Linked DNA regions of Oreochromis niloticus. The protein of the gene in region 2 purifies or fractionates together with the protein of the main gene of each other region. This does not show direct contact. Links are inferred from orthologs where the notes say so. Each region holds a gene or a part of one and is shown on either strand. Other genes may lie near its edges.

Region 1 (7,802 bases), on a different chromosome or scaffold from region 2:
CTCGGGACAGACTTTCTTGGTGTTAATTTCAGGATCTGTAGTGACGATCTTGCTCCACCACTCCATTTTGTTAATCTGAAATCAAAATACGATTTGACACACTCTCTCTCTCTCCAGTTGACTGAATAATTCCACAGTGTGCCACACATCTACACGTCTTCTTACCTTTTCCAAGTGGACAGTAACCACCTTGCCATCATCGATGAGCCAGGAGCTCTCCTCTACCTTCACCTCGTTGTAGAGTTGGCCATCAATAACTGGAGGATGTCCTTTCAGGCCCACTTTGATGGAGCGCCGCTGGATGTCCACAACTACATCTTTGCCCTTAATGCGAAAGTTCACACTAAAGGGCACTGCCACCTGTGGGAGGAGTTTAATCATTAATATTTTAATTACACATGTGCACTAAATCGCAAGTAGAGGCGCACATGTGTTCTTATAAGCTTATAAAACTCTCGTCTGCACAGAAAAAAAAGAAAAGAAATTCCACTGCTCTCGGTGATCTCGGTAGATCTGATAATGTGATTCCAACAGACTGCATGCCACTGATTGTGTGGTACCACTGACTAGCCAATCACTTACGACAGTGTCGCCTTACGAAAATTAAAACTGCCCTTGAAACCTGGCAACGAGGAATATGGCCACACAAGAAACAACACTGTGGTCTCTGAGTCATGCACCGAGCAGGAGGTATAAGATTAGGTCGACACCCTCCATTTTTGCGCTTGTGTCGCGTACAAATGATGTCACGGAACTTTCTTGCATGTTGCTATAACAACCCCAAACACATTAGGTGGTACTCAAATGTAATGGCAGATGTTAAAAGACATTTAAGACAACTTCCAGCACCTTTTATTTATCCAGTATTCTGTATGCATTCTGACTCTTTCCACAACAGTCTTGGCATATCTGAATAAAACTGGAAGGAATAATAATGTAGAATTCACATAAAAAGAGCAGTGTCATTTTTCCCTTCTGCAGAGTCCAATGGAAAACAAATACAAATGTGTTCTGGCACATGCTGTTTAAGGAAACACATCACTTGAAAGAAAGAGGCACAGGGCAATGCACAGGAAACATTAAGATGGTTTTAATATTGTGCTATCCATCTGGCAAACTCAGGCAAAGGTGACATTACTGAGCTGTAATAACAACATTATGATGGAGCTGTACGTATGGTGAGAAGCTGAGGGGTAAGAGATGCTCAAAGAACCATTCAGATGTTCAGTAAACACAAGCTGAGAAGAGGTAAAGTCCAGCATGATGCTGAAACCAGAAAAAACTCACATCAACTTCAGACAGGGTCTGTGTCCACTTGTAGTTGGGCAGGTCAGCTCCATTTCCCGAATTAGGCTTCAGTTTATCTTTGTCTTTCTCATCCTCCTCTCCTTCAGAGTCCGACTGAAGGAAAAGAAAATGAACATGAATAAGCGTTAATTAAAAAAAAAAACATTAAGTGCACTTCATTTTACTGCTTAGTCAACACTAAGTAATAAGGTACATGTCAAACTCCTCACTCACGCCTTTCTCTTTCTCAGCTTTGTCAGATGACATCTCTGCTGCCGCCGCTGTATTCTCCTCTTCCTTCTTTTTCTAGCATAAAAAAAGCCAGACATAAAGTTAAGTAACAGACATAACAGTTCAGAGTTTAATTTAACCATTTCAGAGACACACTGGTGACAGAAAATGAGAAAATCCGTATTTCACCTTATCAAGTTCAGTCTGAAGCTTCTCTGCTTCCTCGTCTGTCAGCTCCTGGATTCTTGGACCGTCGTCATTCTTCTTTTTCTTCTCCTCCTCTGCAAGCTTGGCCGCTCTTTCAGCTTTTTCTCTTTTTTCTTTCTCTTGTTTCATCTGCTTCTCTTTCTGGGCCTTCAGCGCCAACTTGCTGTGGTGAGCAAAGGCATCCTTGACGAGCTGAAGAACATAGGGGATTTCAATTAAAACTGAGGGATGGGTGGAGTTCTGTGTTTATCACTGAAATCTTGAATGTGACACGAGGTATAAATGGAACAGCAATGCTCACCTTCTCTGCTGCACCTGAATCACCACCAGTGAAGAAATCAGTTTTGCGGCGGAGGAAGCTGAAAAATGTGTTTACTAACTGTTGATAGAAAATAGGTCAAGAATAAGTTACAAAATCCATATAACAGATTACAGCTTTATTATGGACTTATGACTGTGTTGACGAGACTGGACTGAAATAAATTACTGCTTGGATTGGAGAGCCTTCCTTTTCTGTGCTGGGTGTCTCTGTGATCACCACTCGTAAAAAACATCATTGTAACCAAACATTCATTTCGCTTCATCAGTTTCCAGATCACATCTTTCACCTTTTCCTCATAACAGCAGGTCTCTTTTTAGCAAATATATTTTCTTCCAGAACCTTCACCCGTCCAGGGCACAGCGTCACATTACTACAGTACAAAACTTACTTGTAGAACTAACATTACTTTTAACAGTTTCTATCAGGAACATGGACCATCTAATAGACATGCTCAAACAGAACTAAGTTCATTTTTTGCTAAGTTGTGCTGCCTTCTTAGTCACATGTATGCCAAATTCACCAGAACACTCCGCAGCTTGCAGCTAAGCTAGTCCACGAAAGCCATGGTTATTAATAACAAAATCATTTTCTAAACTTTGCAAAACAGTTAAAAACATTCATTTTTTTGTGCGTGTTTGTGACTGCTCATAGGCACGGTGTACATACTAGCTTACAGGCTAACCACGTTAGCGTTAGTACAGTAGCTTTAGCATGTTAGCACGGCGATGCACTGCTTTACCTCTTGTACCCCTCCTTCGTGTTGCTGCGCCATAACAAGCAACATGCCGTCATATTTTTCTTCATCTTCACCCATGCTGACTGACTGAGAAACGGAATCGGAACACCGGCGCAAAAATCAAGCAAAGCAGGTTCTGTTAGAAAGAAAGCAAAGCTGTTCTGTGAGAGTCACGCTGAACACTTCCTGGAAACAACCCCCTTCTTGCTCTAGTTTCGACCAATTGGAGCAACACACTATTATTGATAGCTAAGGCACCCAATAAATGGAAGGCGCTGTTTTAGGGCGGGACTCGGGCTTATTTGAAGAGTAAGAATATTCTAGAGAAGAGAACGGATCTATGATTGAAACTTTAAATTTATTCAGTTGAATGCTAATCGTTTAACATATTGGAATAAAATAATAATAAAATCTAGCCTGCTGCCATGTTATCGCGGATAGGTAGAAATAATAGGTGCAATTTGCTGGAAAATGGAGGTTTAAGCAGCTACTTGTTCTTCTTTTTTTTAAACACAATCACAGACATAAACAAGTATAAAATATGCCATAAAAAGTAAGATGAAAATATAAAAAGTCAAATTTCCAACCTTAGTTAAACTCCACCTTATCCAGGGGCATTTCCAGGCGAGCTGAAAAAAATAATCTCTCTAGTGCGTCTTGGGTCTACCTGGGGCCTGCTCCTGGTAGGATATGCATGCCTGTAACACCTCGGAGGCACTCTAGGCACATTGGAGTAGCAGCTCTACTGTGAAACCTGCTTGAATAACCAAACTCCTTATCCTATCTCTAAGGAAGAGGTCAGACAACTTTTTGAGAAAGCTTACTGGTGTCACTTGTATCTGCGATCTCATTGTTTCAGTCACTACCCAAAGCTTGTAATCTTAGGTAAGAGTAGGGATGTAGATCCCCTGTTAATCAACAGCTTTGCCTTTACACTTAGCTCTCGCTTCATCACAACAGACAGTTTACATCACTGCACCTGCACTACCCATCTTACTCATGAACAAGATCCTGATATACTTAAATTCCTCCACTTGGGGCAGAATCTTTTCCCTGACCTGGAGTGGGCACTCCACCCTTTTCCAGCTGAGGACAATGGCCTCAAACTGTTGTCCATCCTGAATCCGAGGTTCGACTAGTAGATGAACTCTCCTTTCCAGTAGCCTGGCATAGTTCTTCTCACTGAGGCTGAGGAGTATGATCCTCATGTAGTTGGAGCACACCCTCTGGTCCTTCTTCCTAAAGATAGGAATCACCACCCTAGTCTGCCAGTTCAGACGCACCACCCCAGATCTCCACACAACATTCCAGAGGCGTGTCAACCAAGACAGCCCTACAACAGCCAAGGTTTTAAAGAACTCATCCACCCCACAGACCCTGCTACCAAGGAGCTGTTGAACTACCTCAGTGAACTTGCCCCCAGTGATGGATCAATCATCCCACTCGACTTTACTTCCTCTACAGAAAATGTGTAAATGGGATTAAGGAGGTCCTTAAAGTATTTCTTCCACTGCTTGCCTATATCAGTTGAAGTCAGCACCACTCCACTTGCATTATTCACATGTGAGCAGAGCACTAATTTCCCCTCCTGAATCACCAGATGGTTTGTCAGAATCACTTCTCTACAGACTGAAAGTCTTTTTCCATGGCCTCACTCAACTCCTTCCACACGACGTCAACGTGTTAGCGCGGTTAGCTCACTAACGTGTTGACGCCATGCAGCCCCACGCATGGGCCGATCCGCGTTAACTCACAAACGGAGATTTGCCACATTAATGCGGTTATGGCGTTAACATCATTTTAACGAGATTAACGCTGACAGCACTAGTGTAGACACAACAGTGGTTCCCAATAGTGGTTCATCTCTTAAATGCTTTTTTCTATGCTTAAATGATTCATAGGTTAGCCTTAAGTAACTTAACAAAAACAAAACAAACAAACAACAAAACAAAAAAACCCACTGAATGAAACAATGAAAAACTAGAACTATTGCTCAAGACCACTTTAAAAGTTTACAGCAAAGGCTGGCATAGCAAAAACAGCATCAGCAGTGCTAAGATAGGACAATATAATATAATATAATATAATATAATATAAGACTGTGTTGTCTCAAAGGCTCATGTGATTATTGGTTGAATAATTTTATTAATTTCCCTCTTGTATATTCAGTAGCTTTTCAATACATATAGGAGAACATAGCACATAGCAGACAGTGCATACTGTAATTTTGTCTTGTTTCAGTGTTTTCCATAGGTTTTCTTTTTTCTGTAGGTAAGCACCATACAGCACACCTCATCTTCAAAGTATAGTAGGTAACTAAAATGCGGTGCATAGACTACATAACGGTGTCTCGGCAGCGATAATTTCGCCTTAATGGAGACATAAGTCCAGACATACTTGACAGCTAATGAGGTTGATCCCCAGTTGTTTGCTTCATATTGCTAGGTGACTGTGGTCTCAAGAGCAATCCATTATTTGACGACAACAGAGGGGGAAATGTGATAGAGCTGGAAAGGATGGGGAGTACGACCACAACACATTAGATGCGAAACATAGCAGAGTGCTCATTCCCGTTAATCATAGCTTTTAGCATAGTCAGATGTCAAATTCAACGTTAAATGTTAAATGCACAAACATATCCTATTAGACACTATTTGTTTTGTTTTCTGTCTTTTCAGTACCTGAGCAATTACCTGTGTACTCACCTTCCCCTAGCTGTGCTTACATCATTCCTTTCGTAAGTTAGCTGTTTTCCTGTCAATTTCTTGTATGAAATTTCATTATTTTTAGTTTGTCTCTACTTTGATTTTCTTGTGTCTGATATCTGTCGGATCTGTTTTATGTCGCTCCCTTTTGGATTTGTTTGATATGATTAGTGAACATCTGTGCATGAGCTTAGGGCTTAAAGATACAGTGTGTAAAATACCACTGCTAGATATCAGTAGGTTGCAGATTGCAGTGAACTGAATTATAACTTCTTATCCTTCGCAATTTAAGTGCAAGAGAGCAGTGGTGGAGAGGGAGAAAGACCTAAAGAGAAAGAGATGATGAAAATATCTCTTTGTTAAAGGGTAATACAGAGTTTTAAAGGGTTATTTGTGATCTTTAAATGAAAAGTAACTTATGGCATAGTACTTATGTGGCCGGTGTCTAGTTACATAAAACGCAATTAAATGGAAATGCAAAGTCCATCTCCTCCACTGTTTTTAAGATGGCTGTGAACAATTTGTTTGAAGACATAATTATACACTAATCATTGTATATTTGTGAGTACAACATTTTTTTAATAAGCTAACCTTGTAAGCAATACAAAAATGTTACATTTATTAAGAGAGATGCTTTTTGTCCACAAAGACTTAATGTAGTGTTCATACAAGTGTCAGGAAAATCACAACCCCCCCCCAATGGCTGCTTATGTCAATATTATACTTAAATAAATAAACAACAAATCTGAAAACACATGATCTTATTCTTAGCTAGGATTATGCAGGAACTCCAGCAGAGAAAGAAAGAGAGAAAAGACTGTCAAAAATAATGCACGCTCTGACTCCCTCATGTGGCCATCATACTCTATGTGACAAACAAAACATCCTGTTTTTGTTCCACTTCATAATCTTTATTGGTTTATTAAAAAAGACACATCTGATATCAGAAATTAGTTCCTGATACAACATATTTCTGCTGAAAAACAAAAAAACAAAACAAAGAGAAACACCCAAACATTCGATCTGCTACAGCTATAATGTGTCATTAGCAACAAAATGCAAAAGGCTTCACCAGACAATTCAACCCTTTCAGTAAAGTAAGAAGTATAGTTCGATAGATATAGTCAGCAATTCATTACTTCTTCTAAATTTTGGCCTTCATGGTCCAAACCAGAACAAGTTTCCCGTCATTCCATTCTAACCATGCTGGGGTTGGGCTCTACAAAAACCTCAAGTATTCTGGTAGATTTTACAGAAAGACTACAAAAAATTGTTATTCTTTACACATGCAAGTAAAACAGATCGTGGGTGACACATTGTGTGGAATACGTGAACTAGTTTACCATTTGTATTAAATTACTACAGTTATGTTCCTTAACAACTGTAACCATAAACTGATAATGCTAAAGGGAAAAAAAAAAAAATGGACTCAGTGACTCAGCTGGGAAAATCCCCGTCAGGACCCGGGGGTAAATACAGCCATTACATTTGTTGTCATGAAAACACACCTTCACTTCATGAGTCAGCTTGGGATAAACATCGCTAATAAGTTACGGCACACGATACAACCTAAAGTGTAGCTGCAGATCACGCTGGCTCATATAATATTTGATAATTGAAAGCAAACGGTAAAACAGTCACAATCAAAATGTATCCAACACACAGTTAAGATATGAGCTTCTGAGTTATCAGCTTGGTATAAACTTCATGTTTTGAAACAAATAATAAACTGATCTGAAAAAAACAAAACAAAAAACACATTCCATGTTGTCTGAATATTAACTAATGATATGAAATATTAAAAAAAAGACAGGTGAAGGCTTTTTTTTTTTGCAGCCTTCAACTTGTATTTCCAATTGGACTTAACGAAACACAATACAGTTACAATGAAAACTCTACTTTTCCTCTACACAGAAAGTATGCAGTGACACCATCCAGGTGCTTCCCTTAGCCAATCTGAAATTATTCAAATTCTGGAAACTATCAGAACATTATGTAGACTCATTAACTATATATTTGCGACATAACCACAAAACTGAAAGCAAAAATATACTCATCAAATCAAATCAATGATAATGAAGGCATGTGAAATGTGCAAAACAACAGAAACACCAACGACAAACTTTAAATCTAAGAGTAAAATGAGAGCGAGCTCTTAGGATCCTAACTCCTTCAAGGACGAGGGGACGGTTATACAACATGTATGATACAACACCTAAGAGCTGCTGATGACGTCTGCCTGCAGGGCAAGCTCCCCATTAAGCAATCCTTCAAACACAAACATAACATTTATGAATCAGAAATATCTACACAC
Region 2 (7,891 bases):
TGCTATCAAATCGTTCACTTTCTACATTCACACTCTTTTTTTTTACTGTGAACCTTCGAACCTGCTCACTTGATATTGAATTGCTTGCTCATAATAAGATTGTAAGACAAGTAATCTAATTGTATGGATGTCACATACAGCTGTTGTCTGTCTGTACAATCCTAAGGCAAGATAGTACTATTAAATCAAGGGTTCTCCTGTCAGATTTCTTTTATACACAGTTTTTGGTAGTTAAATTAAATAAATAGAATAAATAAAATGTATACAAACCAGAATGTTTACACAGTAGTCTTTTTAAAATAAATTGACAAATGTCTAAAGCTGCATCGTACCACATGTGTAAATAAAATTTTTTGGACATTTCCTTATTAAATTAAACAAGCATAGCAGAGACAGCAAGGAAATGTGTCTTTAGTTGATTGTTTCTTTGTTGTAATGACACTTCCTGGCAATAAATCTTATACTATTGGAAAGACAGTTTATCTCCCTTTAAATGGTGCCAGAAAACTTCATTTGTGGGTCGAGCAGCAGACTTGAGCATCTGGGTTGTGGCCATGAAAAACTTGCCAAACAATATATCCTCCTATTGATTCCTGTTTGGTGTAGTTTCTTGGATCGGATTAAAGAAGTCTGAATGAATAAGACATACTGGAAATTTAACTCTTTATTCATTTAACAAACAGGGGTCTCAACGGCATGTTTAGGAACCCTAGACAGTCACAACAGCCTGGCATCTGGTCATGCTGGTCACCAGCTTGGTAACACACACTGCTGTGGGATGGCTTCCCATTCTTCAACCAGCATTTGTAATAAGTCAGCCAGTGTGGTTGTGTTGGTCACAGAAGATTCTCAGAGCTGATATACTAAACTTGCTGCTCTGAAGTCAAATACAAAAACATGGAAACACTGTTTAGATCACTGCACATCAACAGAGGTTTGCCGCTGACAGCACTCATGGTACAGGCATAACTGCAGTGTAACAGCCTATGATAAGACGGAGAGTGCTAGAATGTCCTGTGCTCTGAATAAACCCTGAACACTGTTGGCAGAAACTCCAAAGCATGGCGTAATGACACAATCAGCCTCATTGCCTTTAGGGCAATCAGTTCTCTCAGTGCAAGCAAAGGTAACAAGCAGTCTGCAGCCTTGTATATAATGTACACAGCGCTCAAACTAAAAAAGTCTAAATGATCATTTTTAAAAAGAAAATTTGACCCTCCAACCACCGTTAAATACTTACAGTCTTTATCTTGTCTACTTTATGTCTTGAGAGAATGTTTATTTTTTTTAAATTGCAGTTTCTGTTTTGCATTTCGCTGTCAAACCATGTTGTGACAGACACCAGCGCAATGGTGCAGACCAGTGTAGCAATCGTAAAAAGTTGAGTGGATTTACCAGTCTTCACATTTCCTCATTCACGAGGTTTATCATTGTTTCATTTTGGTATCTAAAAATAAACCAGCCGACTAGTCTTACATTGTTGTGATTGCCCCAAAAGCTGATAAACAAAGACGCAAAATTTGCTCTTCCTGGATGTTATGCTTTTCAGGCTTAAGGCATGCCTTTAAACACCTAAAGACAAAGGATGCTGAGGAATGCTTGGCTGCTGCAAGCAATGCATCATTTGAAAATATTTTATGTGTTTTATAAGAGCCGTCAGACATGCGGCTTTCTTCGGAAAGAAGCCAGTTTCCATAACCCACAGAGCGTCGTAGTGCATTTTACGACACTTTTGACCACATGCTTCACCTGTTGTCACCTATCATCAAAGTGGACGTGACAAATGGCTGTGTGACATATAAATGTGTCTTGTAATGACTGTTACTGGTAGAAAAAAAACACCATCACCATCACATCTCAGTTTCCAGGGAATATGATATGATAATGTCTATGATCATTTTTCTGAATAGAATACAAAGGAAAGAGGAACTTCAATTAAGGAAATAATACATCCTTCTACGCTGTCATATTGTAATATTAGTCACAGTGGTTTTGATGACTTTAACTGCCTTTGAGGTATTTAAAATTATTTCAAATGTTAACACATTCGTTAACATTCATTAATATACAAATTATTGACTCTGTCGACAAGACTGCTACAGACTGAGAGTTCACATTAGCTGAGTTAAGGATATAAGGGTTTCATATTTGCAGGGTACATTAGCTCATGCCCCAGCCTAAAGTTTAACAGCTAATCGAATCAAAAGAGTTTATGCACTGGAAAAATCAACCCATAGTTAAAAAAAATAATAATTTTAAAATAAATAAATCTTTAGAAATAAAATATCTGAATAGCTATCAAATTAGCCAGCGTATCCAGATCAGCTCTGGCACAAAGGTGAACTTGTCATTTTGAAGTCTAAGGCCACGTCTCTCTCAGTTGTGTAACACATAACACACAGTGTGCAAATGTAAAGAGCTGGACCTGTTGAAACTTTGCCTGTGTTAAGCCAGCTGTTGCCCCATGCTACGGTCCCCACAGCTTCCTCTCTCACTGCGCATCAAAAGGCTCTGTGTTTGACAAAAAGGCCCATTCGAAACTCCAAACAGGAGTCGAGAACCCCATGAGATAAAACACACACCATGAAAAACATCCTCCCGCTGCACTGAAAAGGAAACTGTTTCTGTAGACAAAGCTCTGATTATTCATCGCAGCTATATCCTACTACCCTTAAACTGCGCACACATGCGCTGATAAGACATGCTCAGTTTTCAGATAGACGTATGAATATTTACTGCCCTGTAAACGTGCTGCATGATTCTCTGTATCACGCAGGAGCAAGTAAACTGTGCTGAGTTTAAGTGTCTAGCTGCAGTGAGAAGAATTTCAGATTGTTTTTCTGTTTCTCTTCCTTGTTCCTTCTCATCACAGTCATCAGTCACCTACTGGAATCTTAGGATTATACAAGGTGGTGCAATCAGTGCTGTCCCCATATGCAAACAACACTTATTTATAAGCTATTAACAGTGATGAATTACATTGTATGAGAACGCTTTAGCGGAGAATGCATTGTTAAAGTGTAGTGTACAGACAGTAAACCTGTGGGTGTGTCTTTGTTTAGTTTACTGTAACTAAATGTATGAGGGCTGCGGCAAATACAAACTGTTTCCTTTGTTGATTGAATTAAACGCCTTAAAACCGATAGAAACCAGTGCCGGCTTCTATTGTAGGCTGCTGTAGTCATTTTACTTTAATGTCAGTGGTCACTGTAACCTGCTTCGGTGTTCCATCAGGAAGGATATCTGGTGTAAAACTCTGCCAAATTAAATAAGCAGGGAAGATGAAACCATTTTTAAAAAACATGCTCACTGTGTCCTCAAAACTACATATATAGCCATAACATATAAAGATTCTTATATTATTGCTGACATTACCCCAAAATAAGTTGTTTAAAATCTTCCCCCCCCCCTTTCCTGGATTTTCTTGTACTTCTACCACCATCTTTGCTTTTCATTGCTTCACATCTCTCATAGTTTCTCATGTTTTGAGTGCTGCACCTCTCTCTCTTACAGTAACCCTGCTGCAGCTTCACGAGATGCCTTACATTTGAACCATTTAAGCAACTTCTGGAAAGAAGTGTGGCTAGGTAAATCATTTTACTTACAATTTTTAAACAAGTGTCTCTAGAGTGTGCAGCAGATTGCACTGCCTTGCTTTTGTGAGTTTGCTTTAAAGAAAAGGAAAAAAAGAAACATGACATCATACTGTAAAAACAATGTGAAAATAACATAATTATAGCTGGTAATGCTGAATAACTATGTGGTGATATTTGTATTGCATTACTGGTATTTGTGGTATAAATGACTGGCCATGTGACAAACCTTATGGTTGAAAAAGGCCATGGGTGGGGATTTAGTTGAAGAATGAGTTTATGTACACATTGAATAAGTAAGCAGAGAAGAATAACTCTTAAATTAATTATCCTTCAGTTTTAGTTTATGTGTTGGATTTTTACTCCATCAATCCGTTCTAAATATTTGCATCCCTGTGCTTACTGTTATTTGAATGTTTAACTTCCCGGATTACTTCTGCTAAAATGACATCATGATCTGACCTGTTCTCAGGAATGTATCTCTAATCTTTGCTATGGTGACAGGTTTGCTGTACGTCAGTAGCTGTGATTCAGTAGAGTGGGGTTACTCACTGTTATTAGCTGGTTTTGACCATCAAATGTTAGGTGACACAGGCAATGAGTGGCTTACCACGTCTCAATGGCAATTCCCACAGACTCCAGGTCACATTTAAATTCATTAGTTATATCCATAGTCATTATTTCTGTTAAATACTTCCAAGATGATTTTTTCTAAATTTTATGTATGAGTGTTTTCAAAATCTTCACAATGAAAAAAGTGCACACTGAATGTGACAAGTGTTTTTCACAGGAGACATTCTGACGTGCCACAAAACCACAAATGTAGTTACCTAGTGTGTACCTGGGAAACCTGTAAAAGACAGTGCCATTGTCATAGTTATCAGGAACACCAACACCTTTCTTATTGGTCATAATGTGACCTGTTGTGGTTCGGCAGACTCAGTCAAAGGAGCCAAAATACTGTATTTGGGTCTAGTAGAGTGGCTCATGTTTAGCCTGATCAGTACTGAAGTAAAATACAGTTATTTTTCATCAGCCTTCACATATCTTATTCTTTACTGAAAATGTTCCGGGATTATATTTTAAGACTATATTTGCACAAGCAGGCGACAGCAAAACCCACGTCAAAGGCCTTCATGTACTTAGCTGCATAAAGCTGATTTACAACTCTGTCTAGTGTACCTCTGCTGACACCTGGTGGCAACTATGAGTTACTACACCTCAAAAAATCGGCCTGATATTGAATTTACCGGGTAACTTATCCTAACGGAACAGCATCACATGAACAATTTTGTAAAACCTGTGTGGATTTTATTTGGCTATATTTCATATCGTTTAAATACTTTGACGTTAATAGTAAAATGAGAGTTTCGACAGAAACTTTGCTAACGGGATGACTGCCCCTTTAAGAGCGGCGACCAGCTGCTCAGCGCCCAATCGCGGCGCGTAAACTGAACTTTGTTGTTGTCAGCAACTAAGCGCTAACTGTTAGCTAGCGTTAGCCGGCCACCGAGCTAAAGAGGTGATATCTCGCATCCCATTCGTCCTAATACCGGAGGAAAGCACGGTAAAATTTAGCTTGGACGGCTACGACCGTAAACAAGTCGCTTCCATCAGGATTTCGCCTCCGATATCAACAAAAATGACATCTGCGCTGGTGAGTTTAACCTGCTGCTTGAGCCACTGAGATGAAGTTCGTTTCTTATTTGTATTTTCCACAATGTGCCTTCTTGGTTACGAGTTAAAGGCTGATATATCTGTAGATTTATTGCAATACATTATATATATTTTTTATTTGGTATGGTCCCCTTTCTTTTTGCAGCTTGTTTTAGCTTTATTTAGAGCAAGAGCAGATTATAAATCGGGGTAATTTTACTCTTAGTCTTGATTAAATGTCTGTGAAGTCGTTGCAAAGTGACTCATTACTCAGTCTGCTGCGTGTTCAATGTAATATATACATTTATACTAATGTAACAACCAGCCTGTGTAGTCGTGACAGCCACATATGTTATGTAAATGATACACTGAAAGTTTAATGGTATCGTTTTACTCATTTGTCATGATCTAAGTTGCCTTTGCAGATTAAATGTATCATTTTGCAGTCAAAGTGACTAACAAGCAATTAATATGCCAACAATCTGATATTCTGTGTACGGTAATTACAGTATATTGAAGTTATGAGAAAAGACAAAACGATAGAGTCATTTATGCCACTACACTCACTGTCCACTATATTAGGTGCACCTCGCAAGTGCTGGGTTGAGCGGCCTTTTTGCCTTGAGAGCTGCCTTAATTCTTTGTGTGAAGCTGGAAAAATTCCTCTGAGGTTTTGGTCCATATTGACATGATCGCTTCAGGCAGTTGCTGCAGACTTTTCGGCTGCACATCCATGATGAGAATCTCGTGCTCCACCACATCCCAAAGGTGCTCTGTTGGATTAAGATCTGAGTAAGTGAACATGGTGCATAAAACCCCTGAAAGCAGCCTTCAGAAGATGGGTACACTGTGGCCATGCTGAATGTGATCAGCAACAACCTCAAGTAGGCTGAGGTGTTTAAATGATGCTCAATTGTTAATAAGGGGCCCAAAGCGTGGCATGAAAATATCCCACACAACTTTTAACTTGTAACAGTGTTACATGTTGTGTAGCCTATGTGCTTCAAGGCTCAACAAGTTGTGCATTCAGAGATGCTTGTAACCAGTGACAAACAAACAAGAAAACAAGCTTATTTTAAGTTTGCATAAACTAAACCTCATTTTGAAGAAAGGATGGTCAAAGCCTCTCTTTGATGAACTCCAAGAGTAACTCATAAGACACTATGACAATAGATATTCTGTGCAATACAGTCATGCACCATACACCACAGTATCTGGTAACTGAAGGAAAAAAAATATACTCTTTAAAAGTCTCTCCAGTTCTTTCCTTGTGAGGTTGTTGTTGTTAATATGAAGTAAGATAACTCATTTTATAATTTTCTTAAAAAGTAGTGACTGGTGCCAGACTAGCAGGGAACTCCTACATCTTTTGATAAACAATATTTGCTGCCAGTGAATGGCTCACACTTGGAACCAAAATGATACATTTCAGTATAGTATTTGCCCCTACTCCTAATCTGTAGCAGGCTATTAATGACTTAATCCAAGTAACAATCCTGTTAGTCGTACAACTTAAAATCCAAAATAAAAAGTAAATGTGGCTTTACATAATATAATATAACAATGCATTTAAGAAAGCAGCATTAAATGAGGCGTGGTTGCACGGAATATCGCTAATAAGAGCCAGTTTTATATTATTTTTATATTAAAAATACAAATCAGCAAGAAACCAACTTCAGTAAGAGAATATTTTCTTTATTTACATATAGTTTGTAAAAAATAGTGTAGTTAAGAAAAAAAAAATAGTACAGAATTCTACTAAAAGCAAGTGACTCAAATATGATCTATAAAAGTTTCTATTTTCTGTCTTTCTGCCATTTCAAAATCTCAACACTCGACACCATATTTGTCAAAGTGTCTCGTGATGATGCCCAGCTCCAGCTCCACAGTCCCCATGGCTTCGGTGTGCAGTCTGTATCTGTCCGCCCCGCTGTAGATCAGGTCAGGGCTGAGGAGCTGGGGACCTCCGCCGACGAACATTTGCGCCAGCCGTTCTTGCCAGGAGCCCACAGGCCTCCAGGTCGCACAGCTTATTCGGTGATGTCCCGGACTAGAAGGGACGTGGCAGAAACCATAACCATAGAGTTGGCACCGTCCGAAAGAATCCTGATGCCACACCTCTAGGTGAATCTTCGGCCAGCCTTGCAGCCCTTTGGTCGCGTAGTGCAGATCGATCGGGTGGCTCCAGTACGCTATGTCTCCGATTTGGGGGCTATCCACCTGGGTCTGACCCTCCTTCAGCCCGGATAAAAGCCGCCATGCTTCTCCCGTATGAATTCCCCATTTGCAAAACAAAGTCTTTTCCGGGAAACCACTTGCACCAATGATCTGCCCTATAATGTGCAGCTCTGCCATGTCACACTGGTTCTCTTTAACCAGAAAATGTGGCACGGAAAGTCCTGTTTTGTCTCTCCGATGTTAACGGCTAGCTTAGCGGCTAGCTAAACTAACGGCTAAACGTCTCCTTGGTAACCGCCTACCGTGATTTGCTATATAGCCATATACCCCCTGAGTTCGGCCTCGCAGGCACCACTTCCGGTACGAATCCCGTCCAACATTATGAAGACCCAAAGCTTCACCTTTATAAAGTTGTTTGTCATTAATGAATAATTAATTTTCACTAATTATAATATTGGCAATAT

The links. The genes of interacting proteins can lie anywhere in the genome.
Region 1: the proteins of poc1a (region 2) and nudc purify together in Homo sapiens (co-immunoprecipitation; 3 studies listed by BioGRID and IntAct, with this or other methods). This does not show direct contact. The link is inferred for Oreochromis niloticus from reciprocal best matches to the Homo sapiens genes POC1A and NUDC.

The regions. Positions count from the first base shown.
Region 1 is NC_031985.2:32,990,222-32,998,023, forward strand, and holds the start of nudc (nuclear migration protein nudC), read right to left. Parts: upstream 3,005-7,802; 5' UTR 2,862-3,004; coding exon 2,787-2,861; intron 2,105-2,786; coding exon 2,027-2,104; intron 1,918-2,026; coding exon 1,708-1,917; intron 1,594-1,707; coding exon 1,522-1,593; intron 1,402-1,521; coding exon 1,288-1,401; intron 361-1,287; coding exon 166-360; exon of another isoform or gene 118-165; intron 76-117; coding exon 1-75. UniProt on the Homo sapiens protein: Plays a role in neurogenesis and neuronal migration. Necessary for correct formation of mitotic spindles and chromosome separation during mitosis. Necessary for cytokinesis and cell proliferation.
Region 2 is NC_031970.2:19,650,645-19,658,535, reverse strand, and holds the start of poc1a (POC1 centriolar protein homolog A), read left to right. Parts: upstream 1-4,891; 5' UTR 4,892-5,235; coding exon 5,236-5,250; intron 5,251-5,846; exon of another isoform or gene 5,847-6,022; intron 6,023-6,923; exon of another isoform or gene 6,924-7,076; coding exon of another isoform or gene 7,077-7,604; exon of another isoform or gene 7,605-7,818; intron 7,819-7,891. Other genes in the region: b9d2 (B9 domain-containing protein 2), read right to left, coding at 7,077-7,604.